Stegostoma tigrinum: one gene and its partners. The protein of the gene in region 1 interacts with the protein of each later gene in a pairwise test. Links are inferred from orthologs where the notes say so. Each region holds a gene or a part of one and is shown in the gene's direction. Other genes may lie near its edges.

Evidence for each region.
Region 2: the proteins of ral guanine nucleotide dissociation stimulator-like (region 1) and ras-related protein Rap-1b interact in binary tests that used the Homo sapiens proteins (3 or more experiments, as listed by UniProt). The link is inferred for Stegostoma tigrinum from reciprocal best matches to the Homo sapiens genes RALGDS and RAP1B.
Region 3: the proteins of ral guanine nucleotide dissociation stimulator-like (region 1) and rap1aa interact in a two-hybrid assay, tested with the Homo sapiens proteins (3 studies listed by BioGRID and IntAct). The link is inferred for Stegostoma tigrinum from reciprocal best matches to the Homo sapiens genes RALGDS and RAP1A.

What each region holds. Positions count from the first base shown.
Region 1 is NC_081382.1:36,461,585-36,469,664, forward strand, and holds the start of ral guanine nucleotide dissociation stimulator-like, read left to right. Parts: upstream 1-5,045; 5' UTR 5,046-5,280; coding exon 5,281-5,463; intron 5,464-8,080. UniProt on the Homo sapiens protein: Functions as a guanine nucleotide exchange factor (GEF) activating either RalA or RalB GTPases and plays an important role in intracellular transport. Interacts and acts as an effector molecule for R-Ras, H-Ras, K-Ras, and Rap.
Region 2 is NC_081371.1:37,393,316-37,400,933, reverse strand, and holds the start of ras-related protein Rap-1b, read left to right. Parts: upstream 1-4,594; 5' UTR 4,595-4,727; intron 4,728-7,618. UniProt on the Homo sapiens protein: GTP-binding protein that possesses intrinsic GTPase activity. Contributes to the polarizing activity of KRIT1 and CDH5 in the establishment and maintenance of correct endothelial cell polarity and vascular lumen.
Region 3 is NC_081374.1:5,400,405-5,407,504, forward strand, and holds the start of rap1aa (RAP1A, member of RAS oncogene family a), read left to right. Parts: upstream 1-4,032; 5' UTR 4,033-4,143; intron 4,144-7,100. UniProt on the Homo sapiens protein: Counteracts the mitogenic function of Ras, at least partly because it can interact with Ras GAPs and RAF in a competitive manner. Together with ITGB1BP1, regulates KRIT1 localization to microtubules and membranes.

The sequences.
Region 1 (8,080 bases):
CGGGCCAAGGTCAGTGCGGGCCAAATGGCCTGCTTCCACACAGTAGGGATTCTGTGATTCTAAAGGATGAGAAAATTGGCTTTAATTTCCCCAAGCAAAATGACTAGGCTGGATGGTCTCTCTGGATCCCTGTGTAGTGCAGCTGAGGGCAAATTTCAGGTGACAGCAGAACCAAACCAGGCTTGTGCACTCCAAGTTCTGTTGGGGTGATGCATTGGAGCTGTGTTGACTTGAACCTCTGAGATGCCTTGCTCGGATTCACTGCCATCAATCCTTCTCATTCTGGGTTACCAATGCGATATGGGCAACAAAGCATCCATGAAGTCTTCAGCAGAATATTTCATAAAGGTTTATTACTTTGTACTTACAATGTCTGAGATACATGACGGTTTCCCAAGGGATCAGTTCTTTCCATCCTGCTGGGTAGAGTTTATCTCAGGATATCAGTTAACCCAGCCAGGTACAGGCAGCCTTATATATAAAACAACAACAACAGAAGTTGCTTGAAAAGCTCAGCAGGTCTGGCAGCATCTGTGAAGGAAAAAACAGTTAACGTTTCAGGTTCAGTGACCCTTCTGCAGAGGTAGGATTGTGTGTTGCCCTTCCAGGCTTGCCTATAGGATCATATAGAATCATATAGCTCACAAGGAGGCCATTCACCCCATCTCACCTGGACTGACTACTCAACTGATCCAATTTCCCCTTGATCCTGCAAACAGTTCCTTTTTCAAGGGGGAAGCCACGTGCTGTCTCTGCCTTAGGGCGGCTGGTCAGACACACATAGGTTGTTTTGGATCATTGACCCAGTCAATGAACACGGGGTGGGTTTGTGGAGGTGAAGAGAGAGAGAAGGGGGGTAAAAATACTCACGAACCCCCCCAACACCCCTCCCCCCACAACCAGCCAACCCTACAGTGAATGATAGCTATTTCTCAAGAGCATTGTCACTGCTGTGCTGTCGAAAAAGCAGCAGCCAAGTTGTGCACAGCAAGATCCCACAAGGAACTGAGGGATATTTGACAAATTTGAGGCAATTTTCCCCTACCAGATCTCCTTTCAAAACAGGATCCTGCACACTCATGTGAGCAGGTGATGGAGGCTTTGGTTTTTAAGTCTGCTGAGAGAGTGCGCCTCCCCCCCCCACCGCAGACTCCCTCAGTGTGGCATCTCCGTGCCACCAACTGATTCTATTGTTCTACCCTCTCAAGGAATTATTGCAATATTTATCTCTCCACTAATACCACAAAAACAGGACCAACTGACCTTTTGCCTCACACTGTTCATGGGATCTTGCTGTGCGTAAACTGGCTGCCATGTTTCCTACATTTCAGAATTACCTCATTGGCTGTCAGGTGCTTTACGACATCATCAGGTCATGAAAGACATTATATAAATGCAATTTCTTTATTTACTAGCTTCCTCGTACCACCTCCCAGCTGAGAAAGTGACATTTTATAATCGCAGTTGCTGAGTATATTCAAGAAGCAGCTCGACAAATTCTTGAATATATAGAATGAGGGTCATGCATGAAAATGAAGTTGAAGTCAAAGATCAGTCGTGATTTTGTTGAATTGATGGAACTGGTCCTAAAGGACAAATGACCCACTTCAGCTCCTGTTTATTTAGTTCTTCGGCTTGAAGGGAATGTTGTTCTGGAGCTGACCATAGGGGGCAGCAAAAAGCCCAAAATAACATTGTGCATTTATAAAGCAACCTCATAGCAGACGGATTGAGGATGGAAACTCCATGAACATCACATTCTGTTAACACATCAGGTTTATGTGAGGAAAAGGAAGAGATTCTGAAATGAAATTAAGAGGCTCCCTTTCAGCTTCAGTCATAGAGTCATACAGCATAGCAACAGACCCTCTAATCCAACCAGTCCACGCCAACCATTTTCTCAGACTAAACAAGTCCCACCTGCCTATGCTTGGTGCATACCCCTCCAAACCCTTCCTATAAATTTATCCAAATGTCTTTTAAATGTTGTGTCTGTACCTGCATCCACCACTTCCTCTCGGAGTTCATCCCACACATGAGCTACTCTCTGTGTAAAAATGTTGCCCCTCACATGCTTTATAAATTTTTCTCCTCTTGCCAATAAAAATATGTCCCCTAGTTATGATCTCCCCCACCCTGGGGAAAAGACCCTTGTCATTCACCTTATCTATGCCCGCCGTGATTTTATAAAACTCAGTAAGGTCACCCCTCAACCTCCTATGTACCAATGGAAAAATGTCCCAGCTTATCCAGCCTATCTTTATAACTCAGACCTTCCATTCCCAGCAACATTCTGGTAAACCTTTTCCGAACCCCCTTCAGTTTGATGATATCCTTCCTGTAGCAACCCTCGTAGCTGTCTGTTCCTCAGCACCTCATCAGGCGTCGAGTTTTGTATCTGTCGAGTTTTTTTAAAAACATATTGGTTCTGCTGCTGTCTCCAGACATTTGGCAGCATTTTCACCTGCTTGGCAGATGACACTGGACTGGGTTTGTATCAAGGATGGACTGAAGACGCTAAAGCGACCCTCTGGACTATGCCAGTCAGCATTTGTAGCAATTTTCCAGTACAGAATTGCTTGAAGTACACAGCTCTAGAAACTGTCAAGGAAGCTAGTACAGTTTGGATTCCAGAGTAGTTGGAGCAGCAAATGTTGTCATATTTAAAGTAAAAACAGAACTCTTGCATTAGCATGGAGTTTTTCATAGCTAACAGATGTCCCAAAGTACTTTACAGCCAATTTTTTTTTAAGTGTAGTGTCTGCTGTAATATAGAAAACATGGCAGCTTTTTTGGACCCAGCAAATTCCCATAAAGAGCAATGTAATTAATAATGTAATCACAAAAGGGAGGTGATTGTGTAGTGGTTTCTCCTCATGGATTAATAATCTAGGATTCTAGTCTTAATGCAGAGACAAAAAAAAACTGCAGATGCTGAAATCCAAAGCAGACAAACAGGAGGCTGGAAGAGCACAGTAGCATCTAAAGGAAAGGAGCAGTCAACGTTTCAGGTATTAACCTCATTTAGGCCGGTCCTGAAGAAGGGAAATACCCGAAACATTGACAGCTCCTTCCCTCCAGATTCTTCCTGGCCTGCTGTGCTCTTCCAGCCTCCTGTTTGTCGATCCAAGTCTTAATGTGCTGGTTTAAATCCGATTATGAATTTAAATCCAGTAAAATCTGATCATGTGACTGTTATTATAAAAGCCTGCTTGGTTCACTTTAGGGAAGGAAATCTGCCATCTTTATCTGGCCAGACCCATAAGTGACTCCAGACCAACAGCAGTGTGATTAACATTGATGGGCAATAAATGTGTTAGTGATACCCACATCCATGGAAATATAAAGTGCTTTTGTGATGTTGATTGAGGGATAAATATTGTTCACTGCTCTGGAGTTAAATGCCCTGCCCTTCTTCATGATAATGCCATGGGATCTTTTACATCTCCCTGAGCAAGTAGGTGAGGACTCAGATCCATGTCCTGGCTGAAGACAGCGCTGCCAATAGTGTAGCACTCCCTCAGTGGATTGTTGTACTCAAATACTGGAGTGGGGTTTATTCCCAGGACCCCGTAATTCAGAGGTAAGTGGGCTACCTGCTAAACCAATATTCAACTCCGTGTATATCTAGGCACCTGAGTAACTTCTCTGTGTAATTTACCCTTTATTTGTTTATGGAGCACAGTTGTTGCTGGCAGGGTCAACATTTTATTGCCCTCAAGAAGTTGCCTTCTTAAAACTTTTGCAGTCCCCACAGTGTAGCTGCAGTCACAACAGAACATTAGCCATTCTTTCAAAGGGAATAGAGTATGAAAGTAGAGATAATGGGAACTGCAGATGCTGGAGAATCCAAGATAACAAAGTGTGGAGCTGGATGAACACAGAAGGCCAATGCTGCTGAGATGCTGCTTGGCCTGCTTTGTTCATCCAGCTCCACACTTTGTTACCAGAGTTTGGAGGTAGGGAGGCTTTGCTGAAAGTATACAGGGCACTAGTGAGAACACATCTGAAATTCTGTGAATAATTTTAAGCCCTCTTGCAGGAAAGATGTCATGACATTGGAGACAATCCAGATAGGATTCACTAGGCTTATACCAGGTATGTCTTAAGAGGGGAGGTTGAGTCGCTTGGGTCTGTATTCATTGGAGTTCAGAAGAATAAATGGTAACCTTATTGAAACATACAAAATTCTTACAGGGCTTGTCAGGGTAGACGTGAAGAGATTATATACCCTTATGAGAGAATCTAGGACCAGAGGGCATAATGTCAGAATAAAAGATCACCCATTTAACACAGAAATGAGGAGGAATTTCTTCTCTGAATCAGTGGAGTTCTTTACCATAGAAGGCTGTCGAAGCTGGGGTGTTAAGATAATTCAAGGTTCAGATAGATTTTTAATCAGCAAGGGAATCAAAGGTTACAGCAGGAGAGTGGCGTTTGAGGGAATAGAGGGATATGGATCCTGTAAGTGAAGGCAGTTTTATTACAGAAGGGCAAAATGTATCAGTGCAGGCTTGGAAGCTGAAGGTACTGTTCCTGTGCTGTATTAATGATCAGATTAGCTATGATTTCATTGAATGGTAGAGCAGATGGGCTGAATGGCCTAGTTCTGTACTGAAAACAAAAACAAATTTCTGGAAATCACAGTGGATCAGGCAGCATTCTGTGGAGGGAGAGAGCGCTTCAGATGATTCTGCATCAGAGTTCTGATGCTGCCTACCCTGCTGTGATTCCCAGCTTATTCTTGTTAGTCAGCTAATTGCCAGCATCTGCAGCAATCTGCTGCTGCATCGGGCCGACTTGTTTTCTTGCCTGTGACGATCAGTGCGTCTTTGACGAAGAAACCCACAGGGCTCCATCGAGTGCATGAACTTCGCAGCATCTGCCTTAGTTTCGATGAGGACGGGGTTATGTTTGTGGACTCAATCCAGTCCGGCGCTCTGTGAAACTCCGGTCCGGAGTTGGGAGGTTGCACAGCACTGACATCATGGTCCTGCCTCTCCTGGGCAGGGTGTTATCGCAGTGACTCCCTACCACATCTCATTTCGGGCTGGAAGCCGCGCTGCAGTGTATTTCGGACAGGGGGCCAGGAGATGGAGTCGTGCCTTCCCTTGTAATAAAAGGCTGGGGGCAGCCTAGCGCTGTGGTACAAGCTGTCAGCGCCCCCCCCCCCCCCTCTCCAGCCCCCGGGGCTGGAGAATGTCTCTCTCACCAGCGATTTAAACCAGAAAACTCTGAGTGAGTGAGTGAGAGGGCTCCGAGAGAAACCAGACTTCGCCCATGGTCCGCCTGATGTGGCCGGAGCTGCACAATGAGTGCGCGGCCAGCGGGCACAAGATGTTTGACGGCTCCCGGCGCCTGAAGCAGATCTGGGACGGCGTGAGGCTCGAAGTGACGGGAGATGCCAGCTCTGTGGTTCTGAACAGCTTCACCCAACTGGACCCCGACCTGCCCCTCACCGAGGTACACTTTCTACCCTCCCTCAACCCGCACCCCCCCCCCCACGACCAAAAAAACAAAAACTTTATCACACAAAGATGCTGGAGTGCGAAACAAACAAATCAGAAATTGTTGGAGAAACTCAGCAGGTCTGGCAGTGTCTGTGGGTGAGGAAGGCAGGGTTTAATTGCTGGAGAAGCTCAGCAGGTCTGGCAGTGTCTGTGGGTGAGGAAGGCAGGGTTTAATTGCTGGAGAAGCTCAGCAGGTCTGGCAGTGTCTGTGGGTGAGGAAGGCAGGGTTTAATTGCTGGAGAAGCTCAGCAGGTCTGGCAGTGTCTGTGGGTGAGGAAGGCAGGGTTTAATTGCTGGAGAAGCTCAGCAGGTCTGGCAGTGTCTGTGGGTGAGGAAGGCAGGGTTTAATTGCTGGAGAAGCTCAGCAGGTCTGGCAGTGTCTGTGGGTGAGGAAGGCAGGGTTTAATTGCTGGAGAAGCTCAGTAGGTCTGGCAGCACCTGTGGAGAGAAATCAGTTAAAGTTTTGGGTCCAGTAGATTTGGAACGTTAACTCTGATTTCTCTCCAGAGATCGCTGCAAAAGCTCCGCAGGTCCAGCAGCAATCTCTGTATTTGTATCTGATTTGCTGCATCAGCAGTTCTTTCGGTTTTTAACAGAATTCAATTGCTGGAAAATTTCAGCAAGTCTGGGCAGTGTATAAAGAGAGAGAGAGAGCGAAAGCAGACCTAATGTTTTCTGAGCTCGATGACCCTTTTTCAAGAACTGGAGTCAAAACATTAACCCTGCTTTCTCTCTTCACATGCTGCCAGACCTGCTGGGTTTCTCCAGCATTCTCTGTTTATTTTTGTTTGTTACAGTTCTTTCTTACTTTCTGGTAAGGAAACATCTCGCTTTCTCTCTCACCCAGCTCTGCAGTTGCTATGGAGATGTTACTGATTGCTGCACTGTTTTGCTGATGAGATGATATTTTGCCTGTGGGATATGAGGCATAGTAATAGCACTCTGTTATTGCTGTATGTACCGTCCCATGTTTAACTTTGCCCTCTGTAATCCTGAACGCAGTTGTGTGATTTTAAAATGAATTGCTGTGGGTGCTGGAGAAATCAGACCACAGTCGGAATGCTCACTCCGTTTCTCTGTCCACGGGTGCTGCTGAATTTTTCCAGCACTGTCTGTTTTGTTTATTTTTCATGTTTTGTTTTGAACAAGCACGAGAATGGGGCTTGGGAGGGGTCTAGCAAACACACTGGAGGAACTCAGTGGGTCTGGAGAGAGAGAGAAACAGAGTTAACACTTTGTGTTTTCTTCAGACTGTTCTGGCTGTTTCAAGTTTCCAGTGTCCGCAGTACTTTGCGTTTATTATAAGGGGGTGGGAGTAGTTGTGAGGACATGACCCATATTTGAACCCCCACACAGACACACACGTTACCACTTTGCTCCAGATTGAACATATCATATTCTCAAAAGGGAATGATTCATATACATCAAACACCGTGTGGTGTTATTTTTGCCTCACCTCATAGAATAATTATTTCTGAAGTGCAGGGATTTATACGCATTCTGCAGTAAAAGGAGCTTTTGACCTCTGAGTGTATCGAAATCATAAATCCGTTTATAGGGAAATGTTTTATGGTATTGCAGCAGCATTTACTGTCACCCAGGGCCTCTTCTGACATCTCAGATGATGGGTAGTGAGGAGACAATTAGATCTAACTCGCTCAGCCAGGAGTCCTGCACTGTTGAGCTGAGTGTGGAACTGGCAGCATCTGAGCCAGAGGGTTAGACTTTTAACCTTGATTCACAACTAACACCCGAGATCTCAAACTGTCCTTGAGTGTCTGGGAATGTGTGGGGCGTCTGCACTTTTTTTAAAAAACATATATGGCATGACATATATGGAAACATTCACTGCGGTTTTCTGCCTTTGTACTTAGTGAGGAGAAAAATGCTTCAAAACATAATCTCGTGTTGTCTCCAAATCTCATATGTTGAGTCTGTTGGAGGTTAACATCAGGGCTGCGCATCCTGCAGCCTTAGCCAGTTTTATTTAGTTAATGGCCTTTGAAGATTTCATGGTCTTCTAGGAGCAAAGGAGAACGAATTAGGCTATTCAGCCCCTCAAGCCTGTTCCTCATTCTAGATCCACAGAATCCCTACAGTGCGGAAGCAGGCCATTCGGCCCATCTTGTCCACACTGATCTTTCAAAGAGCTTCCCACACCAGACCCAGATCGTGGCTGATCATCTACCTCAACATCATATTCCTACGATATCCCCATATCTACAGATATAGTTAGTAACCAGAAATTGCCCACCCCTAATTGCCCTCAAACTGAGTCAGAGGTCACATGAAAGTCACCCACATCACTGTGGGTCTGCAGTCACATTAGGCCAGACCAGGTAAGGATGGCAGATTTCCTTCCCTGAAGGACATTAATGAACCAGATGGGTTTATAACAGTAATTGATATCAGTTGTTACAGTCACAACAACTGAGACTAACACTACATTTCACATTTAAACTGAATTTAATACAGTCACTTGTCATTATGGGATGTGAACTCATGTCAGCACAGCATTAGCTTAAGCCTCTGGATTTCTAGTCCAGTAACATTACCACATTACTAACTAA
Region 2 (7,618 bases), on another chromosome or scaffold:
GATCTATGTGCTTTGAGAAACATATGGACTTATTAGCGATAGTGAGCATGGTTTTGTGCAGGGGTGGTCATGCCTCACTGATAGATTGAGTTTTTTGGGGAGGTGATGCGGATGATTGATGGGGGCGGAAATCAGTCAATGTTGTCTACAGTAAAGCGTTTGTCAAGGTCCCTCATGGCAGACTAATACACAAGGTGTCATGTGACTTCTGATCTTGTCCACCAAAGTCCAACACCAGCACCAAGTTACATGGTATCAGGGTGAGTTGGCAAGATGGATACAGAACTGGCTTAGTTCTAGGAGATAGAGGGAAACAATGGAAGGATGCTTTTCAGAATGGATGTCTGTGACTAGTTGTGTTCTACAGGGATCAGTGCTATTCACAATCTACATAAATGATTTGGAGGAAAACGTAGGTGGTCTAACTGGTGACTTTGCAGATGATAGAAAGACTGGTGGAGTTGTGGACAGTGAGGAGGATTGTCAGGATATAGATCAGTCATAAGCAAAATGGCAAATGGAGTTTAATCCGGACAAATATGAGGTGATGCATTTTGGAAGGTGAAGCACAGGTAGAAATTATACGGCAAATGGCAGAACCCTTAGAAGTATTGATATGCAGAGGGATCTGGGTGTGCAGGTCCAGGAATCACTGAAGGTAGCAGCATAGGTAGTAAAAAAGGCTTATGGCATGCTTGCCTTCATTGGAAGGAGCATTGAGTAAAAGAATAGATATGTTATGCTGTAGTTCTATAGAACTTTAGTTGGTCCACACTTGGAGTATTGCATACAGTTCCAGTCACCACACTACCAGAACGATGTAAATAATTTGAGGGTACAGAAAAGGTTTACTAGGATATTGCCAGCCATGTAGAAAGGTTAAATAGACTGGATTTGTTTTCACTGCAATGCAGGAGGTTGAGCGGCAATCTAATAGAAGTTTATAAGATTGTAAATGGTATGGATAGAGTGGAAAGTATGAGGCATTTTCCTGGGATGGATGGGTCAGTTACTAGGGGATACATGTTCTAGGTGTAAAGAGGGAAGTTTAAGAGATGTGTGAGGCACATTTTTACAAAAAAGGTGGAGTGCCTGGAACATGCTGCCAGAGGAAATGGTGGAAGCAGGCACAATAGCAGCAAGAAGTACCTGGATGAATACATGAATAGGAAGGGAATAAAGGGATATAAATCCTTTAAGACAGTTTCAGTGTGAAAGGGCAAAATATGGTGATACAGGATTGGAGGGCTGAAGGGCTTGTTCCTGGCCCGTATTGTTCTTTGTTCTTTGAATCGTGGTTGACAATTAAACATCAACAGTAGGAGAGGCTGGACAAATATCCTATCCTCGAGTACAAGGAAGTATAGTTCATCAGTGCAAAAGAAACAGTTGAAGGCATGGAATACTGCAAAATCTATGCACGCCTTCAACATTATTGGAATAGTATGGAAGACTTTTGTTCCAGTCCTAGACATTCCCCTAGCCAAGCTGTTCCCATATAGCCACATGGCAATGTAGAAAACTGTTCAGGTAAGCCCTGACCACAGAAGGCGAGACAAATTTAACCTGGCCAGTTACTGCTTAATCCTCCACTCATGGACCTCAGCAAAGTGATTGAAGGAGTCATCATCATATTCAAGGAGGTACTTGCAAAGGAATAACCTGATGTTCAGATCACGTTCCACCAGGGCCAGTCAAATCGTGACCTCATTACAGCCTTGAGCAAAAATGAACAAAAGAGCTGAACTCCAGAGGTGAGATAAAAGTGAATGCCCTTGACATCATTTGAGAAAGAATGGCATCAAAAAGCCATAACAAAACTGGAGTCATTGAGAATCCTGGGGAATCTCTTAGGTGATTCGAGTAATCGCTAGCATAAAGAAAGATACTTGTGATTAATGGAGACCAATCATGTCAGAGCTCCTAAGAGTCATGTTTGAGGCCCTAACCATCAGCCGATACTTCAGCAACCATCCCTCCATCATTAGATTAAAAATGGGGATGTTCATTGGTGAATTGACAATGCTCAGCACTTATTGCAACTCGTCAGATACTGAAGCAATCAATCTGCACTGAGCACAATCTTCACCTGAGAAAACAGAATAGACTGGTTTTCACAGGGAATAGCTCAGTAAAAGCCTTAAAAACACAGGTCAAGTTACATACAGCTGTTCTGAGGAAGGGTCACCGGACAAGAAATATTAACTCTGTTTTTTTCCTTCACAGATGCTGCCAGACCTGCTGAGCTTTTCCAGCAACTTTGTTTTTGTTCCTGATATACAGCATTTGCAGTTCTTTTGGTTTTTACATACAGCTCAAATTTTGTATTATAACTGTAGCCCAAAACAAATGTTAATAATTACAGGAATGGACATGAGTGTGCGATCTCCTTTTAAAAATGTAAATTCCTCTACATATGCATTTGGAGTCTGTTCATTTATGCTCAGAATTTTTGATGAAAATGCTGGAAGCTTGAAGAGAGGGATGGACAGTCGGAGAGATAGAGGGAAGTGCAGTTTGAAGAGATGGAATTTGAAGAAAGGGATGGATGAAGCATGGGATAGAGGGAAGTAGCGCTTGAAGAGATGTATGGACAGATAGAACGATGGAGAAAAGTACACTTTGAAGAGAAGAATAGACAGGGAAATAGACGGAGGGAAGTGAAGTTTGAAGAAATGAAAGGACAGAGAGATATGGAGGGATATGAAGTTGGAAGAGACTGATGGACAGATAGAAGAATGGAATGATAGATGTGAAGTTTGAAGAAAAGGATAGACAGTGAGAGGGATAGAGGGAAATGCTGTTTGTAGAGGGATGGGCAGAGAGATGGATGGACAAATATAGGCGCAGAGGGAAGTACGGTTTGATGAGAGCAATGGACAGCGACAGTGTTGGAGGGAAGTAAAGTTTTAAGTAAGGGATGGATAGAGACAGATGGAGGAAAGTACAGTTTGAAGAGAGAGAGAGAGAGAGAGACAGATGGAGAGAAGTGTAGTTGGAAGAGAGGGACGGACCGAGCGAGGGATGGAACAAGCACGCAGTATGGGGAGAGAGGGGGATGGACAGGAGTGAAGTTTTAAGGGAGATAAGGACAGACAGAGTGAGATGGGAAAGTGGAGTTTGAAGAGAAGAATGGAAGTAGAGAGAGAGATAGAGGAGAGTGCAGTCAGAGGAAAAGAGTGGACAGAAGGAAAGGATTAGGGAGGGATGTGCAATTTTGAAGAAAGCATTGGAACGAGAGATAGATGCAGAGAAGTGATGGTAGGAGCTGCTGATGGTAGAGTATGAGTTAACAAGGTGTAGAGCTGGATGAAGACAGCAGGCCAGGCAGCATCAGAGGAGCAGGAGAAGGAAATTTTAAAATAAAAAGAGATGGACAGAGAGAAGTATGGAGGGCAGTGCAGCTTTAGGAGAGGAACGGACAGACAGAGGTACAGAGGTGTGCAGTCTGCAGAAAAAGATGGATAGAAGGACGGATGGAGGGAAGTGCAGTTTGAAGAGTGGGATGGACAGAGAGTGAAGAATGGAGGAAAGTAGTCTGTAGTGAAGGGTGGATAGAGGGAGGAATGGATGGGAATGCAGTTTGAACAGAGGGAGGGATAGAGAGAAGTGCAGTTTGAACAGAGGGATGGAGAAAGAGAGCGATGGAGGGAAGTGCAGTTTGAACAGAAGGATGGATAGAGAGAGGGCTGGAGGAAAGCGCAGTTTGAACAGAGGGAGGGATAGATAGAGAGAAGCGCAGTTTGAACGGATGGGGGGATGGGGGGGATGGGGGGATGGGGGGATGGGGGGATGGGGGGAGTGCAGTTTGAACAGGGGGGGGATGGGGGGGAGTGCAGTTTGAACGGGGGGGGGATGGAGGGGAGTGCAGTTTGAACGGGGGGGATGGGGGGGGAGTGCAGTTTGAACGGGGGGGATGGGGGGGGAGTGCAGTTTGAACGGGGGGGGATGGGGGGGAGTGCAGTTTGAACGGGGGGGGATGGGGGGGAGTGCAGTTTGAACGGGGGGGGATGGGGGGGAGTGCAGTTTGAACGGGGGGGGGATGGAGGGGAGTGCAGTTTGAACGGGGGGGGGATGGAGGGGAGTGCAGTTTGAACGGGGGGGGGATGGAGGGGAGTGCAGTTTGAACGGGGGGGGATGGAGGGGAGTGCAGTTTGAACGGGGGGGGGATGGAGGGGAGTGCAGTTTGAACGGGGGGGATGGAGGGGAGTGCAGTTTGAACGGGGGGGATGGAGGGGAGTGCAGTTTGAACAGGGGGGGGATGGAGGGGAGTGCAGTTTGAACGGGGGGGGATGGAGGGGAGTGCAGTTTGAACAGAGGCGGGGGGGATGGAGGGGAGTGCAGTTTGAACGGGGGGGTGGATGGAGGGGAGTGCAGTTTGAACAGGGGGGGTGGATGGAGGGGAGTGCAGTTTGAACAGGGGGGGTGGAGGGGAGTGCAGTTTGAACGGGGGGGGGATGGAGGGGAGTGCAGTTTGAACGGGGGGGGGGATGGAGGGGAGTGCAGTTTGAACAGAGGGGAGGATAGAAGTGCAGTTTGAACAGAGGGAGGGATGGAAATGCAGTTCGAGCAGTGATGGACAGAGACGGTGGGAGAGCGCCTGCGCCTGACGTCAGGGGAGCCTGTGTACGGCTGCCGACGGAATCGGGAGCGGAGGCGGCTTCAGAGTGACCGCCGGCCGCAGTATCGCAGCGAGAGATAGCGACAGCGATCCCTCTCTCCGCCAGGTGAGTGAGAACACGGCGATGCGGTAGCGGCCGATGGCGGAAAAGCCCGGTTTAAGAGTCCGGGGCCTGTGATGAGGTGGGACGGGGAATGATTGAGGTGACCGAGGGTGGGTGGGTAGGTTGGTTGTGAGAGACTGAGGTCGGGGATGGGCCCTGGCCGGGCGGAGCGGGGCAGGGCGTCGGCCCGGAGTTTGCGGACGAGGATAGACGGTCCAGGAGACGAGCTGCGGCCGCTGCCTATAAGATGGCGGAGCGCTTTCTGCTCGAGGCGGCGGCGACGGCTCCTCTCCCGGTGCTTGTGCCGCCGGACATCCCTTTTGCTGGGCCCCGATCTGCGGAGGATGGAGAGAGAGGACTGAGATCGACCGGCGTCCATCAACCCTGTGACCGTCCCTCCTGGGGCCACGACCACCGTCTACCCCCGGGGCCGGGGCCACGACCACTGCCCCCCTCTCGGGGCCAAGGCCGAGACCCACCCCCACCCCCGGGACTGTATTGAAGTTCGATAGCGGAAATGAAAACTTGTGGTTCATTAATTCATTGAGATGTTCCGGACTCTTCGGAGAAACCGGCTTTTTATTCAAAATTAATGTTTCCCTTCTACTATTCGGTTCCATTCCCCCTCCGGATATTGTTTATTAGATACTGTTGTTGACTCTAATTGATAGTGTATATTGTTGAAGTTAAAGTAAAACAGGAGCCCCACCTTAGTGGGAAAGTATCCCCTGAGGCAGGCAGGGCGGATGCTGCTGGTTCACAGGCGTTCTGCACTGTTTCATGCAAGTATTCACCGAAATGTTCAGTCGCGTCCCAACTCGAATGCTGAAATATTAATTATTTAGCACTATTTTAGCTCCTCGGTCCTTTTGAAATAGGCTGCACTCGTAATCGGATACTTCTGCAACAAACTTGAACCCCCCCCAAAAAAGGAAGTTCTTTGCCGAAAGCTTGTTATTTTTAAGCGTGCCTATATTTGCGTGCGTGTGTTGGGGTGGAACTGAGTGTTTAGTGTTGAGGTTTTTTTTTGTTGTACACGAATACTCAAATGTATTGGAAAGGTTTGGAAAACTTTGCATAGGTGTCCTTTTATTTTGTTAGAGCTTACCGAGTTAGTTAATCAAAATGTAGCGCTCTTCTTCTGACCGGAGAACGAAAGGAAGTTTTGCCAAACTTACTATGTATGTTGAAAATGGCAGGAAGCGATCTCTCAAATATTTAAGTCAGGAGATGAAAGCATGACAAGTTGTATACTTCCTGTGTGAATAATATGACAGCCAAGAGGGATCAACAGTTTTAAGTTTAGACTTTATTTACGCTGACCACCTTGGAAAGCGCTGGAACACGTACTTAGATAACAAGGTATAGAACTGGATGGACACAGCAGGCCAAGCAGCATCAGAAGAGCAGGAAAGCTGACGTTTCGGGTCTGGACCTTCTTCCAGCATCAGCAGTACCTACAATCTCTGAAACACTGCTTAGTTTCTTTGAGGACTGTAACATCTCAACATTGGGGTAATAGCAAACAAAAATTCTTGAATTTGTGGGGAGTTTGTGAATTTGGTAGCTGACGTAACTATCAGTAATGGTCTAATTAAAATTGAAAATGCTGGGATTTAGAAACATTGGAGCAGATTGTACGGTTTTCACATTAGAAAAGCAGCGGGTTATGAACACGCTCGGATTTGAAAACAAGCTGAGAATTTTAAAATTGAGGCATTGCTTGACCAGGAGCTAATGTAAGTAACTGAGGGGAAAAAAAATTCAGAATAGGCAATACATGTTAATTTTTCCCATAACAAGCATCACATCCTGTAAGAGTTTTAAGAAGATAAATATAAATTTATGTAAATTAGGACAGTAATGAATAGTCTCGATTATGGAAGATAGGCTAAGCTGGGTGATGTCTTGGAGGTGGAAATAGGCTTTTGGGATGGTGGCAATCTATAGTTGGGACTTATCTCTGTCAAATGTGACATAAAAATGGAGAACAATCTGCTCAGCCTCAGTAACTAGGGTGAGCGACAGAATTTGGCTGCGTATTTTTTTATTCATTCATGGGAAGTGGCATTGCTGGCTGAACAGTATTTATTGCCCATCTTTAGTTGCCCATAAGAATGTAGTGGTGAGCCTGATAGGTCTACAATACCATTAGGGAAGGAATTCCAGGATTTTGACCCACTTTTGGTGTCTGTCTCCTCACACTTAATAGAACAAAATTCATAGTAATGTGAGATAAGGTGTAGAGCTGGATGAACGCAGCAGGCCAGGCAGCATCAGAGAAGCAGGAAGGCTGATGTTTCAGGTCAGGACCCGTGCCAATTATTGTACATTTGCAAAAGTTGGCTCTAAGATTATTCTTAAATGGAACAATAAGAAGCAAGGTGTGAAGGATTACTCCATTGGAAAAATCGGAAGTTGAGAAATATGCAAAGACTCAACAAAGGGATATAGATTAAGCAAGTGTGCAAAAAATTTAGTTGATGAAGTATAATGTGGAAAATGTGAGCTTGTCCATTTTGGCAGGAAGGATGGGGGGTGAAATAAAGACTGTTCAAACGGAAGAATGCTCTGGTACAGAAAAAATTGTATGGCTCAATGGATGAATCACCAAAAAAAATTGCAGATACAGAAATTAGGAAGCAAAATTGAATGTTGGCCTTTGATTGCAAGATGGATTGAGTTTAAAAAATAGGGAAATCTTGCTACAGTTGCACTGGGCGTTGGTGAGAGTACATCTAGACTTTCAACAGTTTCATTCTCCTTTATAGAGTAGCATTGGAAGTAGGTCAGAGAAGTTTTAATTCTTAGAATGAAGGGATTGTTTTATGAGGCAAGATTGAGCAAGTTTGGTCTTACTCATTGGAATTTCAAGGTATGAGAAATGATCTTTT
Region 3 (7,100 bases), on another chromosome or scaffold:
AAACTAGTTTAACATCAGGAGCCAGATCAATCATGTAAGTGTGAACATGCTGTGCTGTTTTGGAGGCTGGTGATTGTGCAAAGTGTTGACTTAAAGTCAGCTCTCATCCCTGATATCAGCCGGTAGATGCAGTCAATCCAATTCAGTGTGTGCTTTTTGGTGGCCAAGCCTGAGCGATCCAGCAACATGCAGCAGGTTGAGGGCAGTGCAAGATATTTTATAAAGGGTTCTGTTGTCTTCAGTGTGTAACATAATGTGGGCATCCATCGGATGTACATCAGCATCACTGGGTGAATGACTGTGTGTGTGTGTGTGTGTGTGTGTGTGTGTGTGTGTGTGTGTGTGTGTGTGTGTGTGTGTGTGTGTATTATTGCCTTTTATTGACTAATTTGCATGTTTCAGAATTAGGATGATTTCAGCGTTACAGGGTCTTTCAGTTGCAGTAGTGTAAGAGAATTGAGAGATGTATCATTGCTGACGGTATATCAGCATTGGAAATGTATTAGCGTTGAGTTGGCCCAGTGTTTTATGGTTTGGGGCATACCAGTGGGAAGGTTCATTCAGTGGGAAGATATATCATTGTTTGAGGTTTACCAGTGATATGGGGATTATCAGTGTTCTGGGGTGTCTCAGTGTTTTATTGCAGGGATGTATCAGTGTCTCAGACAGAATGGCAATGGATGGGGCTCAAGGCATAAGCAAGATGAAGATTCTGCTAGGACTAAGACTAAATAAAAGCAAGTAACCATATTCTACTTGGTTAAGGTGAGTCTGGGAAGCTCAGGCCCATGATTTACACATCTCGCAATCTGTGCAAAATCCTACCTCCTCTTGGAGATCAGGATGACCTTGTGCAGAGGTCCCTCCAGCAGGAGCAACTCAAACTCTGAAGTTTGGAGCTTGTGCAGCTGCTGGGGCACAACGGTGTATTGATGAAGGGCTGAGAGGTTGGTGGACAGCACAAACATCGCCAACCCACAGATTAAAGATACGTAGAGAATGGGAATGGGGAACTCCAGTCAGAAGCTCCAGGTAGGTTGTGAGGGAATCATCCAAGTACATTCTATTTGCAAAATGCTGTTCAGTCCTGCAAATTAGTGAGAATGACGGTTCCTCTGTTGAGGCCTGTCAGAGCCAAGGCGTGGGTGGGGTAGGGGAGGGTGGAGTGGGGAAAGGCAATAGTGGGAGGGGATTTATTAGTTTCATAAAGGATTTTAATGAACCAATTATTAAGTGGTAATGGGAACTGCAGATGCTGGAGAATCCAAGATAATAAAATGTGAGGCTGGATGAACACAGCAGGCCCAGCAGCATCTCAGGAGCACAAAAGCTTTTGTGCTCCTGAGATGCTGCTGGGCCTGCTGTGTTCATCCAGCCTCACAATTATTAAGTGGGATAGTTTTAGTGTTCAAGGCAGAGAGGGAACAAAATTCTTAAATTGTATCAAGGGGCACTTTTTTTAAACTGGTGCAATGGAACCCAATAAGGAAAGGCCTTGATATCGTGGGCGCAGGTGGAAGGTGTATCAGTTAGGGGGATCTTTCAGAAATAGTGACCATAACTTAGTTACATGTAGGATGGTAATGGAAAAGGATAAGGATGGGCTAAGAAGGAAACCTATAACCTGGTTAAGGCTAAGTTTACTAAGATAAGACATAACTTGGCCCAAGTAGTCTCAGAACACCTACTTGCAGATAAATCTATCAAAGCAGTGGAAGATATTCAAGGGGGGAGCAGGAGTACGGGGAAAATATGTTTCTGTAAAGAGAAAGTGTAGGAGTAAAACAGCAGAGCTGTGGATGTGAGGAGTCATAAAGTTTAGGATTGAGAAGAAAGGAGAAGTTTATGTCAGATACCCAAGGCTCAGTACAGCAGAGTACCTAGACGATACAAAAAGTGCACGGGGTAATCTTCATCTTAAATGAGGACAGCAAGCAGAGTTAATGAGAAAATAGAATAAAGGAAAACCCAAATGATTAAAAAAAATATATATATAAAGAGCAAAAATAGGAGAATCTTGGGTAATTGGGAAAACACAAGGAAGTGCACCTGTGGAATGTTGGACTAATCAAGAGCTGTTTAAATTGTGGAGGAGGCCTGAGGGGCTGAATGGCCTATTCCTGTTCCTGTTTTTTATTGTATTATGGAAAGTAAATAGGTAAAGATATGGTCCATTAGGAATCATAGAGGAAATGTGTGTGTGGATCTGGGAGATATGGGCCCAGTTCTCAGTAAATGTTTTGCATCAGTCTTTACAGTGGAAAAGAATGATGCAGGTATAGACATCAAAGTGGACGATTATGAAATATTAGAAGAAATTAACATTTAGAGAAAGGAAGTACTGGTGGCTTTAGTAGCTTTACGAATAGATACATTCACAAACCTGTTTGAAACATATCCCAGGCTGTTAAGGGTTCAAAGGGAGCAGATATCAGCTCACTGATGAAGGGTCTAGGCCCAAAACATCAGCTTTTGTGCTCCTGAGATGCTGCTTGGCCTGCTGTGTTCATCCAGCTCCACACTTTGTTATCTCGGATTCTCCAGCATCTGCAGCTCCCATTATCTCAGATATCGGGAGCCCTGAGAGTAATTTTCAAATCCTTGCTGGCCATAGGTGAGGTGCCAGAGGACTGGAGCACTACGAACATTGTCCCGTTACAGAAAAGGGAGGAAAGGACAGATTAGGAAACTACAGGACAGTCAGTCTCACCTCAGTGGTGGGGAAGTTATTAGAAAGAATTGTGAGGGACAGAACAAATCCGCACTTAGACAGACATGGATTAATCAGGGATAGTCAACATGGATCCGTTAAGGGAACGTTATGTTTGACGAGTTTAATTGAATTTTTTGAGGTGATAACCATGAGGGTCGATGAGGGTAATGTATTTGATATGGTCTACTTGGACTTTTACAAGACTTTTGAAAAAGTCCCTCATGGGAAACATATCAAGAAAGTAAGACCCCATGGGATCCAAGCCAAAGTGACACATTGGGCTGAAAATCAGCCACAAATTAGGAAGCAGAGGGCAATGGTAGAGGGATGTTTCTCTGACTGTGACTTCCAGTGGGCTTCCACAGGATTTGATGCTGGGGCATTTGCTGTTTGTATATTAACAATTTGGATTAATGATCAAGAAGTTTTAAAATGAAAGTTATGAAGGTGGTAAACAGTTTAAGGTGAGAGGGGAAGGATCTAAACTGGACCTAAAGGACAACCTTTTTCACTCAGAGGGTGGATTTTGGCTCCCTTGTCCTTTGTATGAAATGAGCTGCCAGCAGAAGTTGTGGAGGTTTTTACAGTTACAGCATTTAAAGGACATCTGGCAGGTATATGAATTAGAAGGGTTTAGAGGGATAGAGACCAAATGCTGGCAAATGGGCCTAGATTAATTTAGAAAAACTGGTCAGCATAGACAAATTGGACCAAAGGATCTGTTTCAGTGCTGCACAACTCATGACTCTATGACTCATCTCCTCCAGGAAAATGGTATTAGTACAGTCGGAGACAATAGGAACTGCAGATGCTGGAGAATCCGAGATAACATGGTGTAAGAGCTGGATGAACACATCAGGCCAGAATTTCTGATGAAAGGTCTAGGCCCAGCCTTCTGCTCCTATGATGCTGCTTGGCCTGCTGTGTTCATCCAGCTCTACACCTTGTTATCTCAGTGTAGTCGGATGTTTTTTGACGAGTGCAGACACGAGGGGCTGAACGGTCCTCTGTTTGTGAGTGTCTGGTGGTCTATAAGAGAGAGGTGTCTCAGTGTTTTGGGGGCCATCTGTCGGAGCGATTTCAGTATTTTGGGTGGTGCCGTGGCACTTCGGGGTGCCTCAACATCTGGCGGGGGCGGTCACATCGCAGCTTCTTTGGGATCCCTGGTACCTTCTGCTCTTCTCAGCATTACTTGCGCGGCGTGCGCCGGCGGTGGGTCCACAGTAGGGGTAGCCTGGGGGCGGGGGGGAGAAGAGCGGGTCGTTGCCGCTTTAAAAGGTGTTTCCCTTTTAAGGCGCTCAGAGCGAGGCTGCCGGTGACGTTGTTGTGTTGTGTGTGCGTCTGCGCGCGCTGAGGTGGGTAGGAGCTCGAGCGGTTTCAGGCGGAGCGACAGCGGCGGAAGGGAGCGGGACGGAACCGAACCGGCAGCGGTGAGGGAGAAGACCGTCGTGTGGGGTGGGGATGGCGGGTAGAGGATTGAGGGAGGAGGGATGGGGGGGGGGGTAACTGAGGGGGTAGTGAGGGTGTGGGGCCCACTGGGAGGTTTTGAGTGAAGGGAGTTTGTGTTTATTTTATGGGGGGCGGAGATGACTGAGGCAATGGGGAGCGGCCGTTTCCAGGAGAGGCCGACGCCGCTCCTGGGCCCGTCCCTAGCCGCCGGCCCTTGCGGTTCAGGGCGGGAAGCAATGCGGAGCCTCCAAGTACCCTTCGCCACTCGGTAGTGGGTGCGTGCAGTTAGGGCTTCCTCTTTTCCCCCGCCCTGGGCCTGCCAACTAGGCCCCTCATCCCCCGGGGTGAGTATACCTCGGCTGGAGCTGAGGGCCCATCCCTGCTGCGGCTGTGTCAGGCGGCAGCACCAACAGCGTTACAGATCCCTGCGAAAACCTGTTCAATTTCCATATAGAGACTGAGTAATCAAATGGTAAACCGGTGTCACTTTTTCCCTTGTGCCTGCGTGAAATGTTTTTTAAAAAAAACCAAAGCTGTATACTGTCAGGATGGGGTAACATTGAGCCCAGTGGTGGGTGTTTGATTCCAGCTGATTTCACACTTATATGTTTGGTTGCGTTCAGCTGAAAAGTCAACCCCCCTCCCCCCCACCTTGCTATTTATGAGAAATCCAACTCTCAACTGGGCAGCAGACTTGACAATCCAGTTTTCTTCTCCATTGTAGATCCACACTTCCAGCACTGAGTAGCGTAAATGATTCTTGCACACTAGTCACTGAGAATCCAGCCTGCATGGGTTTCAAAGCAACCTTGTGTAAATTGCCACAGCATGCAAATCTATTTTAGGTGTGACTGGCTGAATGAAGTTGATGATTGACAGCAAATTGTGGAAGTGCATCTCAGTGACACAGTGGAACTTGAGTTAATGTTTGGGAGATAACAAAATGTGAAGCTGTACAAACCCAGCAGGCTAAGCAGCGTCTCAGGAGCACAAAAGCTGATGTTTTGGGCCTAGACCCTCCTTCAGATTAATTTTTGGGAGATCCTGTTTATTGGAACTAATTACTATAAATCTTTTGCATCCATCTGTATTCTCAAGGTTCAGTTCTGTTGCTTTTCACATTGTTTTTTGTCAGTATTTGTTTTTTTAATGTTTTATGCTTTTACACATTCTTTTGAAGCATCTAAAGCACTGGTTTTAATTTCTTGATCGGATTTAGTTAATCTGATGGACCACTTGAATGCAAACCACTACCATTACTGCAGAAATGCATCCAGAGATGTATAGATCTTAACTACCTTTCTCATTATTTATGTAAAGGGAGTTGTGTCCTCAGTAAATTTTGAAGTCTGTATAATCAAATTTTGTTTACTGCCCAGTGAATGTGATGGGAGGTTTCAACTTATATTTCTTGGCGATAGGACATAGACAAATATAAGGTATGAAAACCTGAAGTAGATGGAACCTACAAGGTTAGTAAAATACTGAATCCTTCAGAAATGAATTTGTGACTTGCAAGCATCTGCTTGGCTTGTGTTTTTTCCAAACCCTCCTTTTGATTTCTGATAACCACTGCATTTGGTGCAAGAGTTCTATAAGCTGACTTTCTGACTGATATTCCCCATCGTGTTTATAATATAAAGACTTAGCATGACAGATTGCAGCATTAGATCCTTTAAAGGTGTGGCTTGTCACGAACACTTTCTCTTACCTGTGATAGTTGTTTGATTGGGGAATGACTGAGGCAATGGGGCGTCTCCTTCCTTATTCTGTAATGTTTTTTGATAGAGCGTCTCTGTAGTCCTTTGGAGGACATAGCTTCATTCTTGAGGTGAACAGTGGAATTTTTGAATATTCAAAGGGGAGAGAAAACATGTTCTAACTCTTTTATATTTGGTTGTGTTGTGCAGTATTGTAGGATTTCAGTAAGTGTTATGATGTAAAACTTTTCATTTGGACTTGTGCTTGGACATTATCTGACAACATAAAAATTTTGTCTTTGTGTTCAAGTAACATTGAAGTATTCCCCTTTAGGCTGAAGTACTGATATTGCTGTATTTAACAGCACAATCAAACATTCACTTACATTGTTTTGTCATAATCAATTTTACCTTGCAATAGCGTGCAGGACTCTTGATGTTCTTGCTTTAGTGTTGAGGTCAAATAACTAACAATTTCTGCTTTATGCTAAACTTGTAACGAGATTGAGCTTGTCTTAAGAGTCTGAGCGGAATGTTGGTTTCAAATCTGTTGGAGTTCAAAATTTGTCTTTAGTGGAGGTTAATCAGCACCAGCTCTTTAACTTTTGAAAGTCACCTGGTAATTTTTTTATAATGTTGGCAACACTGCACTGACTAATATAAAAAGATCAAACGTGGTTTGGAGTTGATTTGCTTTCAGCTTCTTAATGTGTAGAAAACTGGGTTGGTCTTGTAGAAGGCAGTCTAGCACTGATAAGTAGCAACTGCAAGGAGTGATGGCTTCTGGTACCCTCCTCCTCCTCCTCCTCCTCCTTCCCCCCCCCCCACCCCCCAAATAATTGAATATGTAAATAGTCACTCTATGAACCAGTCGCTTTTATGTAATTGAAGAGTGCTGTCGCCACACTAGAAGAGTAGCACAAGAAAAGATCTACGTCATGTGAAAAAATTCTCAAAAGAAATAGGAAAGCCTTTGACTGCCCTGTGGGAATGTGTGGTTAGACTGTAATCTGTATGTTTTTTAAATCAATTTCTTGCCAGAATTTCATTGCTTTTGCTTGAATTACATTATACATGATATTTACAGTATTGGCAAATTGAGCATGGAACATGCTGGTTGGTGGATACTGGTATTAAACAGAACTGACAATTGTTGGAAGTAGTCCTAATCTGAGAGATGTTTAACACAGAGGGTTTTGTCTTTCTTGTGAAGAGTGCGCACTTCCTGTGCTTGTTAT